4 linked regions of the Neodiprion lecontei genome follow. The protein of the gene in region 1 purifies or fractionates together with the protein of each later gene. This does not show direct contact. Links are inferred from orthologs where the notes say so. Each region holds a gene or a part of one and is shown on either strand. Other genes may lie near its edges. The genes, in order: cell growth-regulating nucleolar protein, nucleoplasmin-like protein, nucleolar GTP-binding protein 1 and nucleolar GTP-binding protein 2.

Region 1 (4,475 bases):
GTACAAATACTCATCTATACATATGTCATTGAACAGATAAGAGGGGAAAATTGGTTGTTCAGCCAAGTAGCAAAGAAGCATGTACTAATGCAAAACGAAAAGGAAACGATTCACATATTCAGAACGTAATGTCAATAAACGCAGGGCAGTGGCAAGTGAGTAGAAAGTATAATCAAATTCAACTTTGGACTAAAAGTTTGTCAACATCGTTTTACAATTTGTTTTAGATTCTAAAAGAAACATATCATCTGGATGGAGCCATGATTAATTTCACAACTTCTGTTCATTTGTAAACTTCTCCCAGCACGGGATTGAATCAAAAATCACGTTAATATGTCAATCTTCCATTTAAACAATAAACGTATATTTTATTTTTCACATGTTTAATTTTCATTGTTTTTATGATTTCTAACTCGTATGTACAGACCTCTGAGTAATAACCTCGCCCAATAAGCACGCTTCCCTAGTTTTTTGCTCACAGTGGTCTCCCACTCGAGCAGCAGGTCCTATTAAGAGGTAGCGGTGTGTAGAAGAAGACGGAAAACGATTGTTGCCGCTCGCGAGGAGAGCAAGATGGGGATACTTTATTTCCTAGAAAAACTTCCCCTTAGGAGCCTGGACGGACTTATAGAGAGGTCCGACTGTACTTGTCATATATCTCGAATACTGTACATTTTGGGAAGATATGCCAGCTTATTAAGTAAGTGCTGTTATAGTTTTAGGAAAAATTTCTTAGTGGCTATTCATGTATCACGTACGATATTTGTAGGCGGAATAGTGGCTGGATCAGTTATTTGTTACTTATTATTTGGGAGGAGGGAAATGATTAAAACAATATAGAAGATATACCACCGCATGCAAATCAACAAATAACGCAAATAATTTAGGATGAATGATATTGAATCAAAATTCCCTTATTTTTATTGTGGTTGTTTTCTTTACAAGATGTTGTCTGTCTAGATATCACTTTGTCAGTTTGACTTTTCCATCTTCGATAACAATCTGTGTCATTCTATTAATTTTTCTGTCAAATTTAGCAGCAGCATTTCCTTTTAGTACTGTAACTTTACTATATATTTGATACTGTCGCAAAACTTTTTTTCTCAATTTCCTCAGAGAAACTTCCTTTTTAGAGTAAAGTACCTCCAGTATAGCATCACTCCAGTTAAATTTCTTGACTACCATTTCGTTATTATAGGAAATATTTTTAGAATTGTTCTGACTCATTGCAGTTGTTAAATTAGTACTTTCTAATTCATCACCTATAAGTTTTTTAGACTTTTTACTTCCAACGCAATTTTCTTCCATACCTATTGAACATAAATTTTGCTCGAAATTTTCACAATTTCTATTGTCACTGTGGACATTTTCCTTCTTCTGATATTGCATTTCTTCAGGTATTTTCCGCTTCAGTGATTTTTTCGATTTATTGCTACTGCTATTATCAGTTGTCTGCAGGCTGATTTCACAACTTTGATTCTCCGAGTTCCCACTGTATTCGGCATTAGGATCTGCTGTTTTATATTCATTGGATAAGTTTTCGTTGTTCTCATTTTCCGATATATCTGTCTGAATCAACGGTGTCACTACATTATCTTGAGCGACAGAACAAACATTAGTATTTGTAGGAGCTTTATTCACTAAAGTTTTTTTGAAGGCTTCTTCCATTTTAGTCCATATACTCTCGAGGACTGTCAAGTTAACTCGACCGGCTAACATGCTTTTCATAAAATTAAAAAACTTTGCTTTTTTTCTCGGCACATTGTCATGATTTGACAATGTATTAAGAATGTTCCTTTCAGCGGCAGATAGGTTTTCTGAATTCTCAATGACAGCATGTACTACTGCAACCCAATCTTGTTGTTTTTGCTCTCCTTTATTTTTGCTCGGCCGGAGGACAAAGTCTTTTCCACCGTACCGCTGCGCCTCCGTTATGCATTTGGTGTGTTTGACAAACTCTTGTCCCCTATACATGGAATCATACATCATCTAGCACACAGATTATGCAAGGTATATTACAAATTATTCATATTTCTAATTGTATTCTAGTTTTTTTGTTTTATAAATCAGATAAATTCACCCAACTGGAACGTACCGAAAATCTTGGAAACAATCCATGCAACTGACTGAAATGGAATTTCTGCACTTGAATTGAAAGTGTTTTCCGACTTTAGGCTTCTTTATTGCCTCACCACAGTGAGTACACGTGAAAAATACCATTTTTATGGATAAGCACGTGCCGGAGAATCATGAATGCAAGTATTTTTTTCTCCAATTTGCTCTGTCGGGATTTGCTTCGACTGGCAACTGTTGACAGCATAAAAGTAAACTAACCTACAAGTTAAATATACCGTTTTAAAAATGAGCTATAATTGTTGGGTAAAATAAACTCAGGTCGTTGTAAATCATAGGCCTAGTGGTAGATTTACTCACTCGAATTGAGGTTAAATACTGCGTGGTAATCCAAGATGCCAAGCTTCAAGCACGAAGTGAGAGGGAAGGAGACCGAACTCCGATCCCAAAAGTGGGATCAATTTTCCAGCGATGAGTGAGCAGTTCGCTGCGAAGAATAACCGAGATGACAAGTCACGCATGCGCAGTACGATTAGCTGCGTCTTTGTATCTCTCGCGTAAAGTGCGAGTGAGACAGTTTTGTTGTTGTGACAGCAAGTTCATGAGGTTATGGTGCGTAATAATTTCTTGGCATAATGATAGAATCACAAATATCGCTTTATTATTTGCAAAAAAGAAACGTGAATACGCTGCGAAGTCAGAAATCATAGGTGCGTATTTTACGAACGTTGTTTATGGAACTTTAAGCCGTAAATAGTGGAGCATTTGAATCATTCTGGACGTTCTTACAGATATGGAGCAAGTACTTAATGAATTTAATTACACGTATTTGAGGAAAAAGCTATGTGTAAGTATTTTACCAGCACCAAGTTGGGGTTTTACACGAGGAGATCGCACATTTTTTGGTCTACAAAAGATTGAAAAGGATTGCTGTTTTACCAGATATGCACGTTGAAATATACATAGACAATAAAATTTGGCCGCTCTGAGAATGTATTATCCTTGTTAATATGGATCAGTTTATTGTTCTTCTAAACAACGTAGATAAAATGCCTTTGCCAGATCATTAGGATATTGAACAACCATTTTTTACACTCATGCTTTAAATGTAAACAATTTATCAATCATGTTCAATACGAAAATTGTAAATGGTAAATAGGAGAATCAGGATATATACAAGTTTTACATAATAGAAATTCTCAGCTACAGTGATGAGAATTAGGAGATAAGGTTAGGATGTAGAATATAAGGATTCACAAATTAGATATATACATAAAAACGATATTTCTTGCTTGTTGTTGGCAATTTCAATTTATTGTACAATCTGGTAATAAACATAAACAGAAGTATAATTTTGTTTTACCATCACTCTATGATCACGTTACGTACCGAGGGAGCTTTAAACAACGTGTGATTGTTATTTTTGTCTTTATATTTGGTTTTGCACTGCGGTACACGACACGCTGACATCTTACCGTAAAAACTAACCTCACTGTCATAACAAAACTATCTCACTCGCACTTTACGCGAGAGAGATAAGGACGCAGCTAAGTCGTACTGCGCATGCGTGACTCGTCATCTCCGTTATTCTTCGCAGCGAACTGCTCACTTTTTTATCGCTGGAAAATTGATCCCACTTTTGGGATGCGGCCTCGGCAGAGTTCGGTCTCATTCTCTCTTATTTCGTGTTCGGAATACACCCAGCATTGAATGTTGTCCCGCGGTCATCAGCGACATCAGCAGAGATCAGCCTGCTCGTGAGTTAACGATCCCGCGTCGTCCACGTGCTTTGGGTCAATTTTGAAATTCATTGACGCTGGAAGTGGTGTCTGCATAAAAGTAGCATTTACTCTTTCTGTTTGAAAACCATTGTTCTGATATGGGGGTAAGTCAAGTGAATTCAAATATATATTTGCACTATACAATTCTTCTTCACCCGATTGCACAAGGTGACATAACCTAATGGTGCAACGCGCCATACTACACATCTGCTCATTGCATCAAAAATTATATACCGTATTATGGATTCCCGGAAATTCACACTTTCGACACTTGTAGAGAATTGTGATTTCTCACATTTTAGCTTGTTCTTACGTAAATGTTCTTAAAATCAACAGTAATAACTATATTTATGTCTAAGTTAGCTTGAGATGAATTAAAACGTATTTTCCAGAGGTCTTAGAATAGTAAACAAAACCGATTCGTCATAGTACGAGTGCGCGGTATTGAAAATTAGGTACCGATTTTCATTACGGGTTTCGTATTCGGTAGTTTGGGTTAACCGAAATATCGAAATGTCGGTAGACTTTAATCTACAAATATCGTCGGAAAAAAGATTAAGAAAAATCTGTATTGAACTGTACTAAATAACTTTAGGTTATCAGAAACTTCGGTATTCCCGT
Region 2 (7,155 bases), on another chromosome or scaffold:
TCTTCTTCGCTTTGTTTAAACTCAAGTTTGCAGATATTGCCAGCAGTGAGTACGCATTCGTAAATAGCTTCTAGTAAGTCGTGGTCTTGAGCATTGAATTCAATCTTCACTTCATTCTGTATAGTTTTTACTAGTAAACTGCTTAACTGTGAGCATAACTTATGTTGTACTATTTTTCCCTCTAATTCAACGTCTGTATACTCTTGCACTTTCAAATTACGGCGCTCCAAGTCTTCGATTTCATTTAAATTTTCCCTTTCGATGATCAAATCGTTAACCAGGTTCATTATACGTTTCTGTGCAGATATGGGACCATCTGCCAAAACCTGAGAAAATATTTCTAAGCCGCCGTGACTCAGTAGTGCTTTTTGTGCAGCTGGGTAGTTCCGGACCAGGGAACCCAGTGCATATATACATCGATCCATCAACTTCGAGGTGCCGTGTTTTGTCAACATGCGTAAAATGATTGGAACAAATTCCGACTCCAGTGCTATTTCCTTCACCTTCGGGTTTGACTGTACAGCTGCTCCGAGGACATGAAGGGCTTCACACTTGATCTCCTCTATTGTGCCATTGAGACAAGGGTGTATCACTTTCATCAGGCTGAAAATATTTACAATGTAAAGTGAAGACCGATTGTTATATGATACGAATTAATACTATAAGAATTGGCACAAGTAAAGTTTTCCTAGAAGGCAGATGAAGAGCGATGTATTAATTTCAGACTAGAAGCAACAGATTTGATGAATGGAAAATGAAAAACGTGAAAATGCTAAATTCTATTTCAAACAGTTCCATGCACAATTTCAAAAATTGTAAAATGTAGACTGTACGCACCCTCCGAATCTGGTGAATTCGAGCCCATTGTCAATGTCATGGACCAGGTATTCTAACTGACCCAATATATCCATGATGTCTTTGATCTCTTTGGCATCTAGTGATCCGGACGTAATTGCAGTTCGATGAGTATCAAACTGTTCAATGAAAATACCTAATAAATCAACGTCGGTTGACGGGCCAAAGTTTATGTTCTCATACTCCTTCTTCAGTTCATCAAAGCTCTGGAACCTGGCACGCTTTAGAAAAGAAAGGAAAATAAGATGTCAGTAATGTGGAAAATGCGACTATTTCCTGTTTGACATTAAGATAGATTTGAGCGACGAATTACTTTGGGTTTCCGTGCGAAAGGAGTCTTGTTAGACTTAATTTTTTTCAATTCGGTTTTTAATTCTTCCCCAGATATTTTCAAAGTCCTATCATCGTGCTGAATCTGTCCATCATTAATTTCCGAAGGTTTTAAATTCTCCGCGTCTGGATGTAGGGCTACGGATTTGCGCATTTCATCGTTATCCGAAATTTCTTTCTCGCTGGGTTCCATCAGTTTTGCTTCTGTAATGCCAGTTTGAAAATTATGCCGAACATGAAGACCTTTTGGGATTGGTGTGCCTGAAAATTATTAGCGTTCGTTAGGAAGCGCGGGATTCGTCGAATAATCGAGAAGCCTCAAACCCCGAAAAAGCTTTCAAAATGTGAAATATAACGGCGTATCGAATCTTATCGCACCGTGTAAAGTGGGGAATTTAATAGGGCGAATGATCTATGAGCCATATGCCGATCTCTCGTTGGTAAACGATCAATTTATGCAATCGCACGAGGCCTGTGTACTTGACTGACGTTGTAAGCACACGTCAAGTGCGAGAAAAGTAGTCCCGTTTCTCGACCTACCCTTTTCAACGACTTGCCATTCTTTGGTGGGTATAAATACACTGTCATTTTTCGATCCTTTCTCCGAAGCTACGATATCGTTGATCCAGAGATACGAGACTATGATAAACAAGCATAGATCGCACACGTAACGCATTTTCCAAGAGAACGTGTCGAATAGGCGCTGTGAGCAGGTGCCGGATTTCTTCTAGAATATACGGTTACTCATATAGGAATTAAATATCCGTTCTAAGCGACACGAGAACCCGTTAATAATATTTACAAGGGTTTTTCAATACCACGCACTCGCGCTGTCACGTTTTACAAACCGTTTGCCTATTGTTGAGAAAATTTATCTTATTAATGCAGTCGTTTTGCAAAACCTAGTTCGTCACTTCTGTCGCCAGGTGCCGTCTCGAGACCAATAGCGCGTCGGAATGACCGCAGAAGTTTGGAGGCAGGACCCAATCAGAAGGTGGAACGTACTCTAGGCGCGCAAGCCGAGGGACGCGAAACTCATTTGCTGCGAGATCGTCAAACACGTGTGACCATTCCGAGTCTCTACCCAGTTACGCGGCGTCCCTCGGCTTCAGACCCGCAACTCAAAACGTTTGAATCTGTGTATATCTAATCGATCGCCATGGCTGAGGAATATTTATACGGTAAATATTATACTCTAAGACTTAACGGATATGCTGATTTATTTATTTTCCATAAATAGCGAATACTTTCGATACATACCGTTGTTTTAACACCGTTGTATGCCTACGTGTGGACGCCGGCAGAATATCGGCCATTATGCAGGCGAATCCATTGTCTTTGTACAAAAATCTTGGTTATTATACCATTCATTATTTCTCTCATCGTCGATGTGCCACAGAATGATTATTATGTCGATTTAAATTATGCGTAAACTACATTCTTCAAGTCTTGCGTCAATTTGTATGCAGGAATCACTTTGCAAGGACCCAATGCCACCGAGGTCTGGGATCCTGAGCACAAAAACGAGGACGTTGACGGTGCTAATCAACATTTTGGCGCTGACCAAAAACTCATTATCAAAATGGTGAGTTGAAATTGTCAATCTGGTAATCAAGTATCTAATTTTTTACACTTCATCAGCTACTGTTTGATTCATTTTGTGTTACCCATCTTTAGCGCCATTGTCGCCGTGCGTACGCAATTTTGCCGATTCACATTCTCAACCTTTATAACACGCAAAATTTGATCCTAGAACAAACCAGAAATAAAAATTTATAAATAACACGTCAGTGTGTCAACAATCGATGATTTTTGTCCTTGAAAATTGTTATCGCTGTTTTTAACGCATTTTGGCGCCATTTGCATTCATCTTCTAAATTATTGTCATTCGAAAAAACTCTGAAATATCCAATTCATTGCTATTGTATACCTATTTGTTTCTGATAAGTTGCATCAATATAATAAGTATAGTCATCCCAAAAAGAAAATCTGTACTTAAATTTTGACAAGCTAATTGATTGTTTAATCGTTGCAAGTTGTAAGATCAACATCTATAATGTAAATTATTTAAGCTTGAGTCGACATTAACTAGCTGCTGTTTTTATTTAAAAAATTATGAATGACGAGCGATCAAGAATAAACAGTAACACGTTTCAATTTCTGATAAAAAGTATGTCAGCCTTGAGGCAAGCTTTGAAAGTACTGTTTATTTAATATTAATAGTTCATCAGTTTATTGCAACACTAACATTTAGCTTACGAATATGGTCAATATAATCCGATGAGGTTCATTATCTATATCTTTTTTTTGTGACTTCAGGCACTTCTGGGACCTGAGGCCAAAGCTGGCGAGTTAAACGTACTACAAGTTGAGGCGATGGGACTCAAAGGTCCAATTAAAATCCCAATTGCCTTATTGGAACTGGGCAAAACTGCACAAATCATCCTCGATCTAAGTTTCCCTGATCCACCCGTCACATTCACCTTAATCAAAGGCAGCGGTCCAGTCCATATAGTAGGACACAATCTCCTTGGTAAGTTTCATTTTGTTTCGTAGATTAATCTTCCTTCACTCCTGATATATTTGGACTAATAACACTTGCAACATCACTACCAGCTGTGTCAGCGATGCACGCTCAAGGTTTGCGAGACACCATTTGGCCGCAATCTTTTATAGACTATCGTATTTAATGAGAAAATGTTTCATTTTAATGAACTGATGCTAGTGACCAGAGTCAATGGCGACGAATAGTAATTATGCTGAAAAATTTGGAAATGAAGCCTAGCAATTGAAATTTCACTGAATCTCATGAATATTTAGTACTTTCATAGAATCATCGGATCTGAAATTTATGTATGATTATCTTTAAAAAAAAGTTTACTACATCGGCTGCTGACTGAAGTCACTAAATTCAGCTTCATCTCATTTTAGTGATCAAAAAACTATGATTACAGTTTTATTTGCACTGTATTGTATAAGAATATATTGTGTGAATATATCATGCATTAATAAACTCGATTATTCGTTACAGGGACGCATATGGATGAATTTGAAGACATGGAGGACGAAATGGAGGAAGAAAACATCGATGACGAAGATGATGAGAAGGTGAATATAAATCTAAAATTTTACAGCTTTTAGCCAGGGTTTTTCAATTAAAAATTGTCAATTTTGAAAATAAATAACCCATTCGTAATTACAATTGATTCAGACCATTGGTTATTGTGCAAAAGCAAATTAAGCGTATTGTAAACAAAAATTCTGAAATTGGATTTGTGTTAGCAATACGTTATCTTAACAATCGGTACAAAACTGAAGGAGTATGGTTAGAAGTTAGGAGACCATCATACGTTATGTGAATGGGAATTAATATTTCAGGCCTCGCATAAGAAACGGAAACTTTCTGGCGAGGGTAAAAAAAATGGCACCAAACGCGCCAAGATGGATGAGGAGGTAGACAAGGAGAACTATCGAAAATAGCATGCTTGGTCCTAGCAATAAGTTTTACATATCTTACGTTAAATACAGACTATACATTTCAAACATCAATTAAATTCGTTTTAATCATCAACTCTTCATTTCACCAGACTAGAGTGATGATAATGGTAACTTTGAAACGTACAGATGTACTTGTCTATGTTACATCAAAATAATTTAAGTTTTAATTTTTTTGAAAAATAAACAACGTCTTTGGAATAATTGTTTTTAGATTTTGCATTTTATTTCACTACCTACCATCTTGGCAGTGTGCAATATAATGGGCCTACTCTAAATGTTGTCTATACATCTTTGACTACTTTCCGGTCATTGTAATATTAAATTTTGTTTCTCAGGGTTTTATGATACATAATTTTGATCACAGATTAGGTTTTATAATTTTTTCTTTTACGACTACGAGTTTTGTTACTCGACGGTAAAAATAATATAACTATTAATTTATAAAATAATGAATTGTTATTTGAGTAGTTAAGACTGATCGGTCTGGATTTATGACACTATTGTCTCTACACTAGATTGAATTATTAGAACAGAATGCGTAATCGGAATCTGCTCTCATTAATTTCTTTGATGTTTTTGATTTAGGACCCTGAGGATGAAGAAGACGAAGAAGAAGAGCCCAAAAAGAAGAATGCGAAATTAGCGACCCCAGCTAAAAACAAAAATCAAGCTAACAAGAATAAGAAAAAATAAATCCGTGGTTTTATTACCAACACATCCTAGGCTAGGCTCTTGAATGTAAGTTCATCATCATTCGCGTTTTGCGTGTTACAGTATCGTTTCATCTGATAGTCAAAAGAGACCATTCATTATCCATTCACGGATTCTAAAATCTTGAGGCTGGGTTGTGTACATTTTTTTCATGATAACAATTGTTCTTCAATCGAAAGCAACGAAGAAGCAAAAGCAAAGAGAAAAAGATCACAGATATTAGGCACACAATCTGTTACCTTACTGAATTAATGCGTTACTTGAAGATTTCCAGACTAATTTTGTGTAAAAATACCTATAAGATGAATATGTATTTTATTCTAGCGACTATAAAAGGGTCGCGGAGCCATGACAAGGTCATCAGTGAGAACACATTTTCGAGGAATAAGTCTATATAGAAGGCAATGCAAGTTCGACTCTTCAGTATTTAACGCTTCTGCGTCTCCCTGAACATCGGAATAGCAATCTACAGCTCAGATTTGAAAGTTCGTGAATCCGAATGCTAGACAAATGATAGACTGACAGACAGACGGAGACAGATTGACGCATGTTTTAATCCTACTCTTCCGCAGCTCGACTTCCAGTCAGAAAACACAAAGCTATATTATAACACCACTTGATAATCATATTTACTTCTTATAAAGATCATGACGGAATTTTTATCCCACTGATCTAGTATATTTATTTTGAACTAAACGAGGTCTTTGATTAATTTTATGACCATTAGAAGGAGTTAAAACAGAACATTGTCATCTCTCGATATTCATTCCATTTGAAGAAAAGTAATAGCCGGCGTACAGACAGACACTATATGCACGGCGCACCGTTCTTATTTAACATGTGTTATACACAGTGTTTTCCACTTACGTGCCCATACGTCTGTATACTCTTTTGTACATATACGATACAATAAAAATTTCACTTAACTTTTACTTAATATTAATTTATTATGTAAATTTGTACAGTGCGTGACTAGACTTAGAAAACACTTTCTTGTTTGAAAAATTTTATGTCAAACCTCCCATTATCCGCGCGAGGTCTAATTTTCAAGAAAATATGAAGTGGTGTGGGTAGTTAACACTTTGAACCACGGCCTTGAACAGTTGGAGCCAGGTAAAAATCAGTGGGATCATAGTAACGATCGGTTGTTTGATATTCTATAGTTATAGTCATATTAATAATTTGTACTACTTTTACTCTTGAAATATTTGATATTTTGTAAATATATTCGAAGGAATAATTATGCTGGGATGAAGTTGGTGTGGTTGGAATTTTATAGTCGTAGGTCTTCTGGCCTGCCATTTTACGACCTCGATGAAGAAAACATTTTCAAATACGGGATTACTTCCACGAAAATTTCTAAGGTTGGTTTATGACTGTCACATGTCTTGCTCAGAGTTGATAGGTTGACAGTTAAATGGCAGGAGTTATCACTGTGGGAAAAATAATAGAAAAAAATTGTTACATATTAGCCTAAGTCTACCGAACGTAAAATGTGTGCATCACTTTATATCAAAGTTCATCATTGTTTTGGATACGTAAACATTGGTTTTAACGGTTAACAAAAGTTGGGCCTCCTTGGGTTTCAAATTTTTTACTAACAACGTCAAACCTCAAACATTTGGGAATCATTCATGTACCTAAATTTCGAATCGAAACCATCGGGGTACGTTCTAGTTATGTATCCACCAAGTACTTAGCCGACCTTGTCGAGTGATTTTTGCTATCTACGGGGATAAAAGTAGACTTACAATTAGTTCG
Region 3 (5,967 bases), on another chromosome or scaffold:
GATATTGGCCGAATAACGAGTCTGGCGTAAGCAAACCTCATTTCCGATCGAAGGTTTGAATATCGCGTTCCGCAGCTCGTTCCGAAAATCGTTTTCGTCGGTGTAGAAAGGAGTTTGGAACGTATATACGAGGCGTGTTTGTGCCTAGGCAGCTACTATGCGTTCATTCCACTAGCCGCGAGAGAATCAAATTGTTGTACGAAAAAAAAACAACATAAAAACGTTCATAAATAAACAATAACAGCGGGACGCTGGGTGCTTACCATATTCCGGAAATCATCGACACTATTGTCACTTCTGACAAACCCGCTGTTTCACCAAATTTCAAGAGTATTTATTCAAACCGATTCTAGCGTTCACTTTTCATTCCTCAAATACTAAAAACAAACATGGCGACGGCGTCACTTGAAAATACTACGAGGTAGCGCCGCGATGTTTTCGACAAATATATTCACCCCGACTTCGCTTTAGTCAATAAAATTGTATATTTCATTTTAATTGTTGTAAATTCACTTCTATATCTTGAGCGCAAAACCTTGCTGCATTTGTTGCCTTATTTATAAGCAGGCCTAGCCGACTTCAGTCACACTTCCGCCCGCAACGGCGCTACCTCGTGTCACAACACTGAGATTCGGATTTCGTCATCCATAAACTGCCTATCCCTTATTCGAACCGAATGAATCGCCTTACGTTATGTAACACCAAACATTTACTGCAAAGCGCGGTGAAATAATTTATCGTTATAATTGTAGCACCGAAGTTATTGAATAATTTCTATTTTACAGTATGTAAACTGTTTTAATTTTCTTTCATTTGGTTGATCTTTCATCTTTTTATACAACATTCCTACTCAATGTCAGAAACACTCGTTAAATTGTCGGCTCAAATGCGAAATTAGATGAAATTTTCGTTGATCGTTATCCTTAATTTATTATCGTTATAGATTATGTAATGCTATTTATTCGCAATTTTCCACTGATAATGCTAATGAAGAATCGAATTTCACAAGTATATGCCTGGATATTTAGTTTCCGCTGATTCTAGGTAGAAATAAAGTTTGCTAGTTACATAAGTATAACGCGTATACATATGTATTTACGGTGGAGCAGTTCTGATATAAAAATATATATATATAATATATATTTATCTCCTGTCCGTTTTTCCGACTCCTCGTTTCCCAGCGAACAAATGTTTCGGCATCTTTGTCCCGATGAATCGATCGGCTTCTCCTTTCAATCCCTTTTTGCCCACTTTCTTTGCCACTGCTTTGTGTGCTATGTTTTTTAACTTCATCTTCATCTGTGATAGAGAAACATAGAGTGTGTAATTAAACTACAGAAAAAAAAAAGCTGAACTTAAAAAATGAAACTTCAGCACTTACAACATTATCCTTAATTCCCATATCATTACGAGCTGGTCTAGAACTGCTACGCGCTCTAGACTGGGACTCGGATTGAAGTCGCATCCTTTTAGTGGCAGGCTGCGATTGCGATCTAGATCTCTTTCTGGTCCTGGTGAAGTTCGCCTGTCGAATATAATGGAGAATGATTGAAGAACGATAAAATGTTCATTGCATTTTTACCTAAAACACTTCTTTCTTATATTTCATATTCATACGCCTGTTGGAGGAATATGCCAACTTACATTTTCTGTGCCCTCCATATCAACACCCAAGTCTTCCATTTGATCACGGAGCTTGGTGACGGAACGATCTCGCACTTTTGAGCCAGCTGTGCGAGGCATAACAGGCTTAGTAGAGGCCTTTGCGATTCGTGCTTCGTCTTTCATGATGGCTTTGCGGTCCCGAATTTGTTTTGCCAAGTCGCGAATCTCTCGCATAGTTTCACTCAATTCCGGAATCTTAGCATCGTAAATGCCTGCCTCCTCCCGCAGGTTTTCTTCTTGCTCCAGAGCGTTCAATTTCTGTGCATAACAAAATAGGGATAACAATAATGGGAATATGATTTACAGCATTATTTTTCGCTTCCTAAAATCGATTCAATCGACGGTTACCTCGAAAATGTCGGGGTCTATGTAGTCCGCTACGTTGTGGCCTTCCCAGAACTCCGGAATAATGTCGTACTTTTGGTCCCCTTCAATGTCGTAATTTTTCTTCAAGTCCAATACGTAATCGTCGCCCATTTCCTCCTCGATCTCACGCTCCAGTTTCCTCTTTCTTTCGGTCTTTGCAGCTGCCAATTCTTTCTTTTTGAGAATATTTTCCGGAATGCAGGGTGGCCTCGCTTTTTGGTCTCTGGCAGTGGGCTGAGCTACATGTAATCGATTCAGGACAGATTCCATCTGTTGAATAAATATAATGAGCAAAATTCGCGAGAAATTCTGTTTCATGGTTATTGTTCCACAACTTTACCTTCTTCGTTCTCATTTTGAGCTCGACTCTGTGAGCCAACAGCCGATCGCAGGCTTGAGTCTTGACTTCCATGACCCCATAGTCAGTAATTGTGCTCATTTCAATTACCGGAAGGTCAGGATCGTCCTCGAAAGGCTTTAGAGTTTCACGTTTGTCTTCCGGCAGCTCCTCCAGTCGAAGAACATCAACTTTATTCAGAACGATCATCAGTGGCTTGTTTGTGAACAAAGGTTTGATGGACTCGAAAAGCTTTACCTGCATAGGTAATTAAGTTTTAATCACAAATGCACATAAAGTCACAGTCGGTGATATTTTCTTTTGAATAAATTACCTGTTCCTCTAACGAATGGCCGCACTGCTCAGATATATCAACAAAATACAAAACTGCAGCACGTAAATGTGCAAGCGCTGTGACAGCCTGCATTTCTATAACATTTCTCTCCTCTAATGGGTGATCTAAAATTCCGGGTGTATCTACGACTTGCCAGCGCAAATACTTATAATCTGTGTGTCCAACGTACAGTGATTTTGTCGTAAACGCGTAAGGCTGCACCTCGACGTCCGCTCGAGTGATCTGTTAATAAAATCAATCAATGTCTCAAAAGCTGTTGCTGAAAAATTAGCGATAATTAGACACATTTGCAAACCAGATTACGAGGTAATTCACCTTGTTTATGAAGCTACTTTTGCCAACATTGGGAAAACCGCAAATGATGATCGTGCGAGTATACGGATCAATGCTCGGCAATCGAGCTAAGTGCTGCCGAACCTGTTCTAGGTAAGTTAAATTTGCAGCCTGTCTTTTCATTATGGTAGCCATCCGACCCAGCGCAGCTTTCTTCAGTTGTTTACAACGATACAGGGAGTCTCCATACTTTAGAAGACGCACATAGTCTTTTGCAACGCTAAAAAAATTAGACGTATTAAATTTCAACACAGACAAGTTCTTCACTTTCGCGAGCTTGAAACGAGCAAATGTGGAAAAAGTATTAAATCGAATTATGAAAAAGAAGCATAATTACTTGTCGATCAAGTGGCGAGCAGTGTTAATCTGTCCCAGAGCCAGTTTGTAATGATCTTTGTCATACAAAACGTTCATGAGATCGGCATAGAACGGATGAACATCGTCGAGTTTTGGAAACTCTTGGATAATTTGGCTCATGCGATCGTGGAAATTTTGCTGGGTGAATTTCACCTTGCGAGTATAAAATGCACGGATTCTTGATATTTTGTAGTTTTTGTGTATGACGGTTGGTGTCTTGCGCTGAGTCTTGGATAAGATGATATCGATGAAGTCCTGTAAAACATCAGACAAGATGACATTATTAATCCTCGAAAAAATAACGGTGTGGACATGTCGATAACCTAAAAATATTGGTAACTTCAATTTTCAAGACTTCTGAATCAGTGAGTCGACGAGTCGGATTACAGAAGTGCGGATCGTTATTTGGGATTTATTGTGCAGTGTCAGAGAGTGAATGAAATTAGTACTTCTGGCTTGACATCAGAATTGAACGTGTCTTTTTGACTAGGTTAAGATTCGACGCTCAATCGAGGATCTGCTTACCTTGGCTGTCGGGACAACGGCGATCTTTTTGAAATTATACAGAGCCATTTTTACAGATGATTTGTCACTTGGGTGACAGCAAATATATGAAGAATATTGCTAATGTTACTGGGATTCCATCACGCACGTGCTGCACGACGTTCCCGAAAAGAAAGATGGTGTCGCGCCCTCCGTGGGATAATAAATCAACTAAGTTACCAGCATAGTGTAACATCCAACCGGAACGTCCGTATGTTTTATCGACTATTATTACTGCATGTTACTTTTATCAACTAACCAAACTCGAAGTATGAGAATCTTGTAACCATAAGGAATTAAAACAACTGTCTAACTATTTGGAATATCCCTAGATGGAAATAACTATGACATTCACTAACGAGATCTTCGCACTACAAAGAGCTATAATATTATTATACGTTATTACATATCACTATCATATTAACACCATAATTAACTAACACGATTATATCCAATTATTATATAGCACTCGACAATGCCATTTGTGCATTCGGAGCTGAGAGCTATACTATAAGCGACTTACGCTATACCATATAACCTGGAGTACGGAAGATTGTAAAACCATAGATAAATGTATAACCAATATAATGTAAAGATAGCACTGCTGCAATAATCCATAAAACCAGAGACTGCAAAACCTTCAAAACCGTGAATACTAATTATCCAGCATGAACTGTACCTTCCTCCGTAACGCCGTATTGTAGGCAACACGCGCAACGTTTTGAAGGCAATGCAGATCTCCAATGTGGAGCCATACAGAGCTTCATCTAGAGAACACATTAGGAAACTTACCGACGAAACGATTGAAGGTAAATCAACTCGCAATAAACTCAAAGATGCATACGTGGCAACGCCCAATGACAGGCAACCAACAAACATAAGAAAAACGTTCTAGAAGCTTCCAAGCCGATTTATATCAATATAAGAATTAATAATTACAGAAGAGAATTATATACGAAAGCACACATGTAAACCTGCTCTAAAACTATGGATTATCAAATTGTTAAATACCCTAAATTTGTTAAGATAATTATAACACAAACACCTAAGAATATTCGCAGCAGCGCGATTCTAATAATGTTAAGCAAACAGCAACTATGTCTCATAAACAATCGCTATTATAATCCAGGTGAATAACGACAGTAATCGATTATATTACATATGTAATTTTATATAGATACACGCTATAAAACTAACAAACGACGAGTAACCAATATGACATATAGACTTTGTAACGAACAGGATAGTAAGAATATTAGGAAGTAAACAGGAACTAGAATTAAGCGTATCGTGAGCCCGAAAATGCACACGGCACTAACATAAAACATGAGTCACCACTAGCGCATCCGCACTGCGATTACCATATTAGGAAATAGCTGCCGAAAGCACGAGACGGCGGGAAGAAGCACAGTAGCCGAGGGGCCAAGGGGGGCTTGCGCCCCAACAACAAAGCTCACGCAGAATGGAAAATTATAGAACAACGACCCCGCACCTACACCACCGCACCGGTGCAGCGTTATACCATATGTAAAAACTTGCAATATAGTAGTAGCTAATGAACTAAGATCACAGGCGTGCATGCGGCGAAGATGGCGTGCCCTAATTAGAATTCCTAAAAAAAGGGGGAGGTGCGCAAAAGGTGACAAAATATAAAAAAGGGGATCGTTCTGCGCAACGATCGACCCCTATAAAAACGGCGACCGATCATCCGATCGTCCACTTGGTTTCTATGACCAGATTCGTCATCTTGTTCGGGTACAGTCTCGCGGTAAAATCCTTTTGCCTTTTGCATTTAAACTTTTCATACAACGTTACTCTGCCCAAAAGTCCAGCGAGCTTTCAGCTCCATTTTGTCATATTAATTTAAGATCTTACACTAAGTAACTCCGTTTTTGTGACTTGAAATATTGAACTTATAAAATAAATCCAAGTTAATCAAAGTATCCGAATATATTAGAATCAGTTATTCCGTTAAATGCTCTCACCAATCTACGCTACAAGTCATCATATC
Region 4 (5,677 bases), about 10 Mb from region 1:
TTGATATCATCACACGGAAGTATACTTTTTTATCAGTTCAGCAATTCGTGCAATGTATAGATAAATACCGTCGCTCTAAGTCTTTGTTTCTCTCATAAATTAACAACACCTCAAAATAAACGAGTCGAAATTCATCCTGGGAAATAATTCGCACACATGAATGAAACACACACAGTTTGCACGAGAGAAGAGATGCGGTAGAATAAGTATGAACGGTAAACTGCTACGACCGAGGGATTCGAGGAGGCGGTGAACATAAATAGCGAGCACAATGAGTGGTAATTTTGCGGAAAGCTTGAAAATACTACTTACTCGTTTCATATGACATTTCTACCCTTGTATGCCTCGCGACCGGCCGCTAATTAGTATGAAAAATACGTAAACCCGGTGAATCTTCACACACGGGCTTGATTTGTCACCTGAGTCACGTATCAGTCGCGTATCACCACCACAACCGCCTCTCCCCCACTTTCGCATCTGGTATATTTGTCCCGCCCTTCGCCTTATTTGGTTGGATCATGAACTATGTGATTAAGAATACGTGAATGTAGACTTGGAAAACTACCGAAGTCTGGTGGCAACTCCTAGTACTAGAATACGCGTTAAAGCAGAGATGAGTAGGTCTCTGGTTAAAGGTTCTTTTTTGAATTTCAAAAAGACTGGCAAGCTAGTGCAGCATATGCAGTTGAGTTTCTCCAAAGCGTGAGATGCAATGAGATGAAATTTCGACAGTAGTTTTGTCATCGACTGAAGATATGGTAAATCCGTTGACTTGTATCTTCAGTCAACTCTTTAGCATTATGCAATTGTAAATGGGTGAAAATTACTAGAGAATTGAGTATTTACACTTTTTATTCGGTAAGGATTAGGGAAACAACGTTGGCGTGGCAAACGTATTATTACCCGGGCAATAGGTCAAACTGTAGCAGATAACAAAGTGCTGGGTTTATCTTGTCTTCGGAACTTTTCTGTTTCTATTTCTGTTCTTTACATTAGTAACTTCATAGAAATCGCTTCCTATTTTCTTTCTCTTATTTGATCTCTCCATAGCTCTTCTTTGCTTACTAGTTAATTTCTTTTCATTTGGATCTGTTTTTTCTTTTTTCCTTGGTTCGTCAGAGACGCTGAATGTACCGCTGCTGGAGGTTGTTTTAATCTCTCTAACTTCACTATCACTAGAATCGTATTCTTCTTCTACAACATCGAAGGCACTTTGCATCAAGCTATCTTTCTCAGGTCCAAAAAACGTCTCATCATCCTTTAATGAATCATTCTCTTCTTCAGCATTTGCTGTTGTTTTGTATTTCTTACTTCCAGACTTTTTCAGGTCATTTCTCTCTTGGTGTAACAACTCTCCTTCACCATTATCTTCTTTTTCTTCTTCATCTGCTTCTTCTTCTTCAGATTCACTAGGCGGCTGAGAGTCATCTGCAGACACAGCTGAACTTGTATTATTATCCTTATCATCGTTCTGAATAGTTCCGGTTTCATCAGCAAAAACATCTCTGTTGTCTTCACTTGAGAATGTCAAACCAATTCTGATCTTCCTGTAATCTTGGACAACATTAAGTGACAATTTGACAGGTTCTTTCACTGCCTCATTCTCAGTTTCCTCATTTTTATCCGAAGTAATATCTTCGTTTATTTCATTCGATACTTCAGCAACAGTCTCCTCTTCCGTTGCCTTCTTAGGTAATGGATTTTCAAATCCCACAGGTGGGACAAAGAAAGGAAGCTTTCCGCGTTGCCAGTCGTTAAGAACCATTCGTGCTGCTATTGCTACGTCAGGTTCTCCGCCTTTTAATAGTTTGCCAGTCCGACGTGCTAGTTTTTCCAAGAAGTCTATGTGGTCTGACCATTCGTCGAGTTTGTAAGTCTTACGCATATATTCAGGTTTCACTCGTTCCAATACATGCGATATGTAGTCTTCAGGGTTAGTAATGAGTTCAACCCTAACAACGCCTTTCAGAACTTTTTCCGTATCTGTTTCGGCAGACGGATAAACAACGCCAGGACAATCGATGAGATATATGCGCCGCATCAGGGTAATGTATTGCCATACCTTGGTTTCTCCGGCAATCGGTGCAACTTTGCAGACTTTTTTAGATCTCAGAGTATTTATGATAGAACTTTTGCCTGTATTTGGGTAACCTATAAAGCCGACGCTAATTTGTTTCTTATCTCCATGCAGCTTTGCAAACTGACGTAGGAGATTAATCAACGAACCCTTTCCAAACGGATGAGTCAACGAGGCATGAAAAGCAAGGGTCGGATGTTCAGCACTTAATATTGCAACCCATCTCTGTGTGACCCAAGTTGGTACCAAGTCGACCTTGTTCAATATGAAAATTAAATGTTTATGGGTCTTTTCAGTTTTTAGATATTTTTCTACAGGTGGAGATCGAGTTCCCATTGGATCTCTGGCATCCAAAACTTGAATAACAACATCTGATGAGTCGATTACTTTATACAGTTCATTCCAAATTCTTCTACTTTGTCCTGCAGCCATAACCCAGTCTCTCTGTACATCTCGTGTCCCATCATCCGGTCTGATCAAATCATGATCTTTAGTGTCTTTCTCAGAGTTATATTTTTCCTCCTTCTCCTTAACGTGAGCCTGCATATCATCGTAGGTTGTAATGGGCAAATTAGGTCGCTTCCTAATTTTCTTCGGTCCAAACACATTTTGGAAACTCTCTGTATCGAGCAGATGTACCCTGGCATTAGCAGCTTTTTGTTGTAGTAAAGTAACGGGCAATCTGGTCTGTTTCATCACAACCTGATAAGGATCTTTCATAGCTGTTCCTAATGCACTTTGAAACTGTTGAAGAGCATTCTGAGAAACGACACGTGAATTTCCAAACCACCTTTGACTGGGCTCGACTCGAGAAACCGTACCAGATGCATGCCATCCTTGAAATGGAGCTGGACTTATAATTTTACCAACTCTATTACGCTTTGGTTTCGAATTACGATACATTTGCAGCCTTTTAATTGTCGCCTTCGTTCGAGGCTTCGCTACACCTTTGAGCCCTTCGGTCGATCTTTCAGGATTCATACTGTGCCCCGATCTGTTGAATCCCTCCTTCCGTGGAGCCTTACTAGCAGAATGTGATTTCACCATTTTTTCTGAAAACATCATACCAAGAATAAAATAAATTTAGTAGTTATTAGTATGGATGAAAAAGTTGTTGGTAGGTTATGTCAAATAACGTTAAATAATAATGTAGCTTTTTCTCCAGTATAAACAGATTTTCAGAACGAAGTATTTCACAGCTAGTTCTGCGACATTCATATTACACGTGTTGTTGGGAACGTTAATAGATATTACAAACAAATTTTATAATTGACGTTAAAAACACGTGTTAATCAACTTAACCTCAAAACTGCATAATGCCCATACGCAAGGCGTTTGGACACCAATCGATTATTACTGCCCACATGAAATTGTTCAAGTTAATAAATACCTGATTTACGTATTAGGTTCCTGGATTACAAAATATAGGAGCACCAAGTGCTACGACGAAGATAATATTTCCACCCTCAACCGCTACATGTAAGGTTAATGTTACTTATGAATCTTTGATATTCGTCCACAGCTGCCGTCTGGCGGCCAGTGCTTGCTGCACGTGCCATCAGCAACACAGCAAATCCGTGTAGCGGTGGCTAAGATACGCAATTATGCTGATACACTACGCATCCACACACGCATAAAATTATCGACATCTTATAAGGATTGATACTATTTTGTTGCAGCAAACGTTGACTAAAAGTATGTTAACGCCGTTTGGAATCAATGCATTTTCTTAAATTATCTTCAACGAGAAATTGAGTTCATAAATTTTTTTTAGGTAGCGAAAAATACCTAAAAAAAATATATTATTATCTAGGCATCAGAGTTTACAAACAGTGTGACTGAAACGAAGTATTTTTCCCTTAGCATCAAGTTTAACGTAGACATAATACATGGAAAAATATATTGCAGTATAAACGAAAAAATTAAAATGCTCCAATTTTTAATTGCAGACGGATTTAATTAATCTTGTAATGATAGGACAACGTCTGTGTCTTCCACAAAGACTTGTAAGTTGAGGTTCGCTGATTTTCAGTTTTACTAATAGTTTATTTATATTCGTAGAATTTAAATTGAAGCAACTGAATTCATCCCAAACAATCTTAATGAGAAGATTCCAAGAGATTCAGATTAAGGAGGTTCTCATAAGCTCTTCCTTTGATGGATTATTATTTCAACAGAAAGGAAAATCTAAAGGACATGCTAGATTTAAAAAAAACCTACCTATTCTCTACTGCTCAAAGGCAAACATCCTGAGCAATTACAGGAACCCACAGGGCGATCATAAATTATAGTTATCACTGCCATTCTGTCCTGCGCAAACATAATTTGTCAGTGGCTTATACCTTGTAGAATAGAAAACCTATAGGGACTCTGCTACCAGCTATTCACTACAGCTCAAAAGTAAATATCGTGAGCAATTATAGGAACTTACAAGCTGGTCAAATAATAGTTATAAAAGAAAATGGATAAATATAAGCTGTGTTGGTTTCGGAAATAAAATAATTTATGACTTCGGACGTGTTTCTTTCCCTGTTGTTGCGTCGTATAAAAAATTGTATTCACCACCGTGATGCTAATTTAATTTACTCACAATTAGAAATTTTTTCAGCGCATTGGAGAGGAATAATAATGGTCATTCAATCCGGAAGTCTGTATACTCGTGCTGTATACATCGATATAAATCACCACCAGTAATCACTCACAAAAATACATATGCAGCAACTCGTCTTTTACTATGAATACGGTACTATACGGTAAAATACAACTCCATTGTTTCCTAATTATTGGAGTCAAGGTATAAGAGGAGAATTAATGGATACTCTGGAAGTTATTTTTTTCAAATTGGTATCAGTCAAATGCTAGAAAATGATTAAACCGATGATTGAAAATGTAAGGTATATCCACATATCGTTTCGGAACGAGGAATCCGACGAATTACTTTCCCACGGCAGCAACGATACTATGTAAGAATCAACAGTAACAATTTGATCCACATTTTTGCGTTGCTGAATGAAACTGAACGCCTGGAACGCGTTCGAATAACTTTAACATTAAAAGTTTCTAGTTGGACTATTTGATACAGACACATCAATCATCATTTATGACATTAAGGTATCATCAATGATAACAATGGTATATTTTTCGTTCTTTAAAATGTCGATGCGGTTTCATAGCTGTAATTTTATATAGGTGCGTATGTACACTGAGACGCCCTTGACATGTATATTACGCCGGACACGACATTATACAATAATATCACTTAAATTCCAGTTTTGCGAGACGCACTAATCGTTCGCAAAGTGAATAAACACTGTACGCTTGAAATGAGTCTCTGATCCCGAACGGTTTATTGACAGTAAATATAGCGTGATTCAGCCATCTCCATCCTACATTCCAGAGTTTTCTCTGATCCAGTCGCGGAAGTAGGAAACTCTGGCATAGACACCGGGATAACCGGCAAGAGCGCATCCGCTGCCCCAGGAAACGGCACCGTGAAGAACTCCATCGACTACCAACGGGCCGCCAGAATCGCCCTGAACAATGGAGAACAGATTGATAATTAGCTTCGGCAGAATGAAGAAAATTACGAATTCGCACAAA

Evidence for each region.
Region 2: the proteins of cell growth-regulating nucleolar protein (region 1) and nucleoplasmin-like protein purify together in Homo sapiens (affinity purification with mass spectrometry; 3 studies listed by BioGRID and IntAct, with this or other methods). This does not show direct contact. The link is inferred for Neodiprion lecontei from reciprocal best matches to the Homo sapiens genes LYAR and NPM1.
Region 3: the proteins of cell growth-regulating nucleolar protein (region 1) and nucleolar GTP-binding protein 1 purify together in Homo sapiens (co-immunoprecipitation; 3 studies listed by BioGRID and IntAct, with this or other methods). This does not show direct contact. The link is inferred for Neodiprion lecontei from reciprocal best matches to the Homo sapiens genes LYAR and GTPBP4.
Region 4: the proteins of cell growth-regulating nucleolar protein (region 1) and nucleolar GTP-binding protein 2 purify together in Homo sapiens (affinity purification with mass spectrometry; 3 studies listed by BioGRID and IntAct, with this or other methods). This does not show direct contact. The link is inferred for Neodiprion lecontei from reciprocal best matches to the Homo sapiens genes LYAR and GNL2.

The regions. Positions count from the first base shown.
Region 1 is NC_060265.1:31,636,528-31,641,002, forward strand, and holds cell growth-regulating nucleolar protein, read right to left. Parts: upstream 2,232-4,475; 5' UTR 2,221-2,231; coding exon 2,096-2,220; intron 1,967-2,095; coding exon 964-1,966; 3' UTR 883-963; downstream 1-882. Other genes in the region: EP300-interacting inhibitor of differentiation 3, read left to right, coding at 37-155, 228-293; nucleolar complex protein 3 homolog, read left to right, coding at 3,953-3,958. UniProt on the Homo sapiens protein: Plays a role in the maintenance of the appropriate processing of 47S/45S pre-rRNA to 32S/30S pre-rRNAs and their subsequent processing to produce 18S and 28S rRNAs. Also acts at the level of transcription regulation.
Region 2 is NC_060260.1:25,711,822-25,718,976, reverse strand, and holds nucleoplasmin-like protein, read left to right. Parts: upstream 1-2,162; 5' UTR 2,163-2,344; coding exon 2,345-2,366; intron 2,367-2,654; coding exon 2,655-2,770; intron 2,771-3,504; coding exon 3,505-3,718; intron 3,719-4,216; coding exon 4,217-4,293; intron 4,294-4,563; coding exon 4,564-4,638; coding exon of another isoform or gene 4,639-4,665; exon of another isoform or gene 4,666-4,884; intron 4,885-5,268; coding exon 5,269-5,376; 3' UTR 5,377-6,326; downstream 6,327-7,155. Other genes in the region: nucleotide exchange factor Sil1, read right to left, coding at 1-603, 838-1,076, 1,169-1,446, 1,726-1,861. UniProt on the Homo sapiens protein: Involved in diverse cellular processes such as ribosome biogenesis, centrosome duplication, protein chaperoning, histone assembly, cell proliferation, and regulation of tumor suppressors p53/TP53 and ARF.
Region 3 is NC_060263.1:16,127,287-16,133,253, forward strand, and holds nucleolar GTP-binding protein 1, read right to left. Parts: upstream 4,100-5,967; 5' UTR 3,987-4,099; coding exon 3,939-3,986; intron 3,669-3,938; coding exon 3,394-3,668; intron 3,277-3,393; coding exon 3,039-3,276; intron 2,946-3,038; coding exon 2,703-2,945; intron 2,627-2,702; coding exon 2,372-2,626; intron 2,302-2,371; coding exon 2,014-2,301; intron 1,924-2,013; coding exon 1,645-1,923; intron 1,526-1,644; coding exon 1,382-1,525; intron 1,300-1,381; coding exon 1,144-1,299; 3' UTR 1,070-1,143; downstream 1-1,069. UniProt on the Homo sapiens protein: Involved in the biogenesis of the 60S ribosomal subunit. Acts as a TP53 repressor, preventing TP53 stabilization and cell cycle arrest.
Region 4 is NC_060265.1:21,565,732-21,571,408, reverse strand, and holds nucleolar GTP-binding protein 2, read right to left. Parts: upstream 3,628-5,677; 5' UTR 3,468-3,627; intron 3,130-3,467; 5' UTR 3,125-3,129; coding exon 947-3,124; 3' UTR 835-946; downstream 1-834. Other genes in the region: actin-interacting protein 1, read right to left, coding at 313-328; trypsin-3, read right to left, coding at 5,464-5,610. UniProt on the Homo sapiens protein: GTPase that associates with pre-60S ribosomal subunits in the nucleolus and is required for their nuclear export and maturation.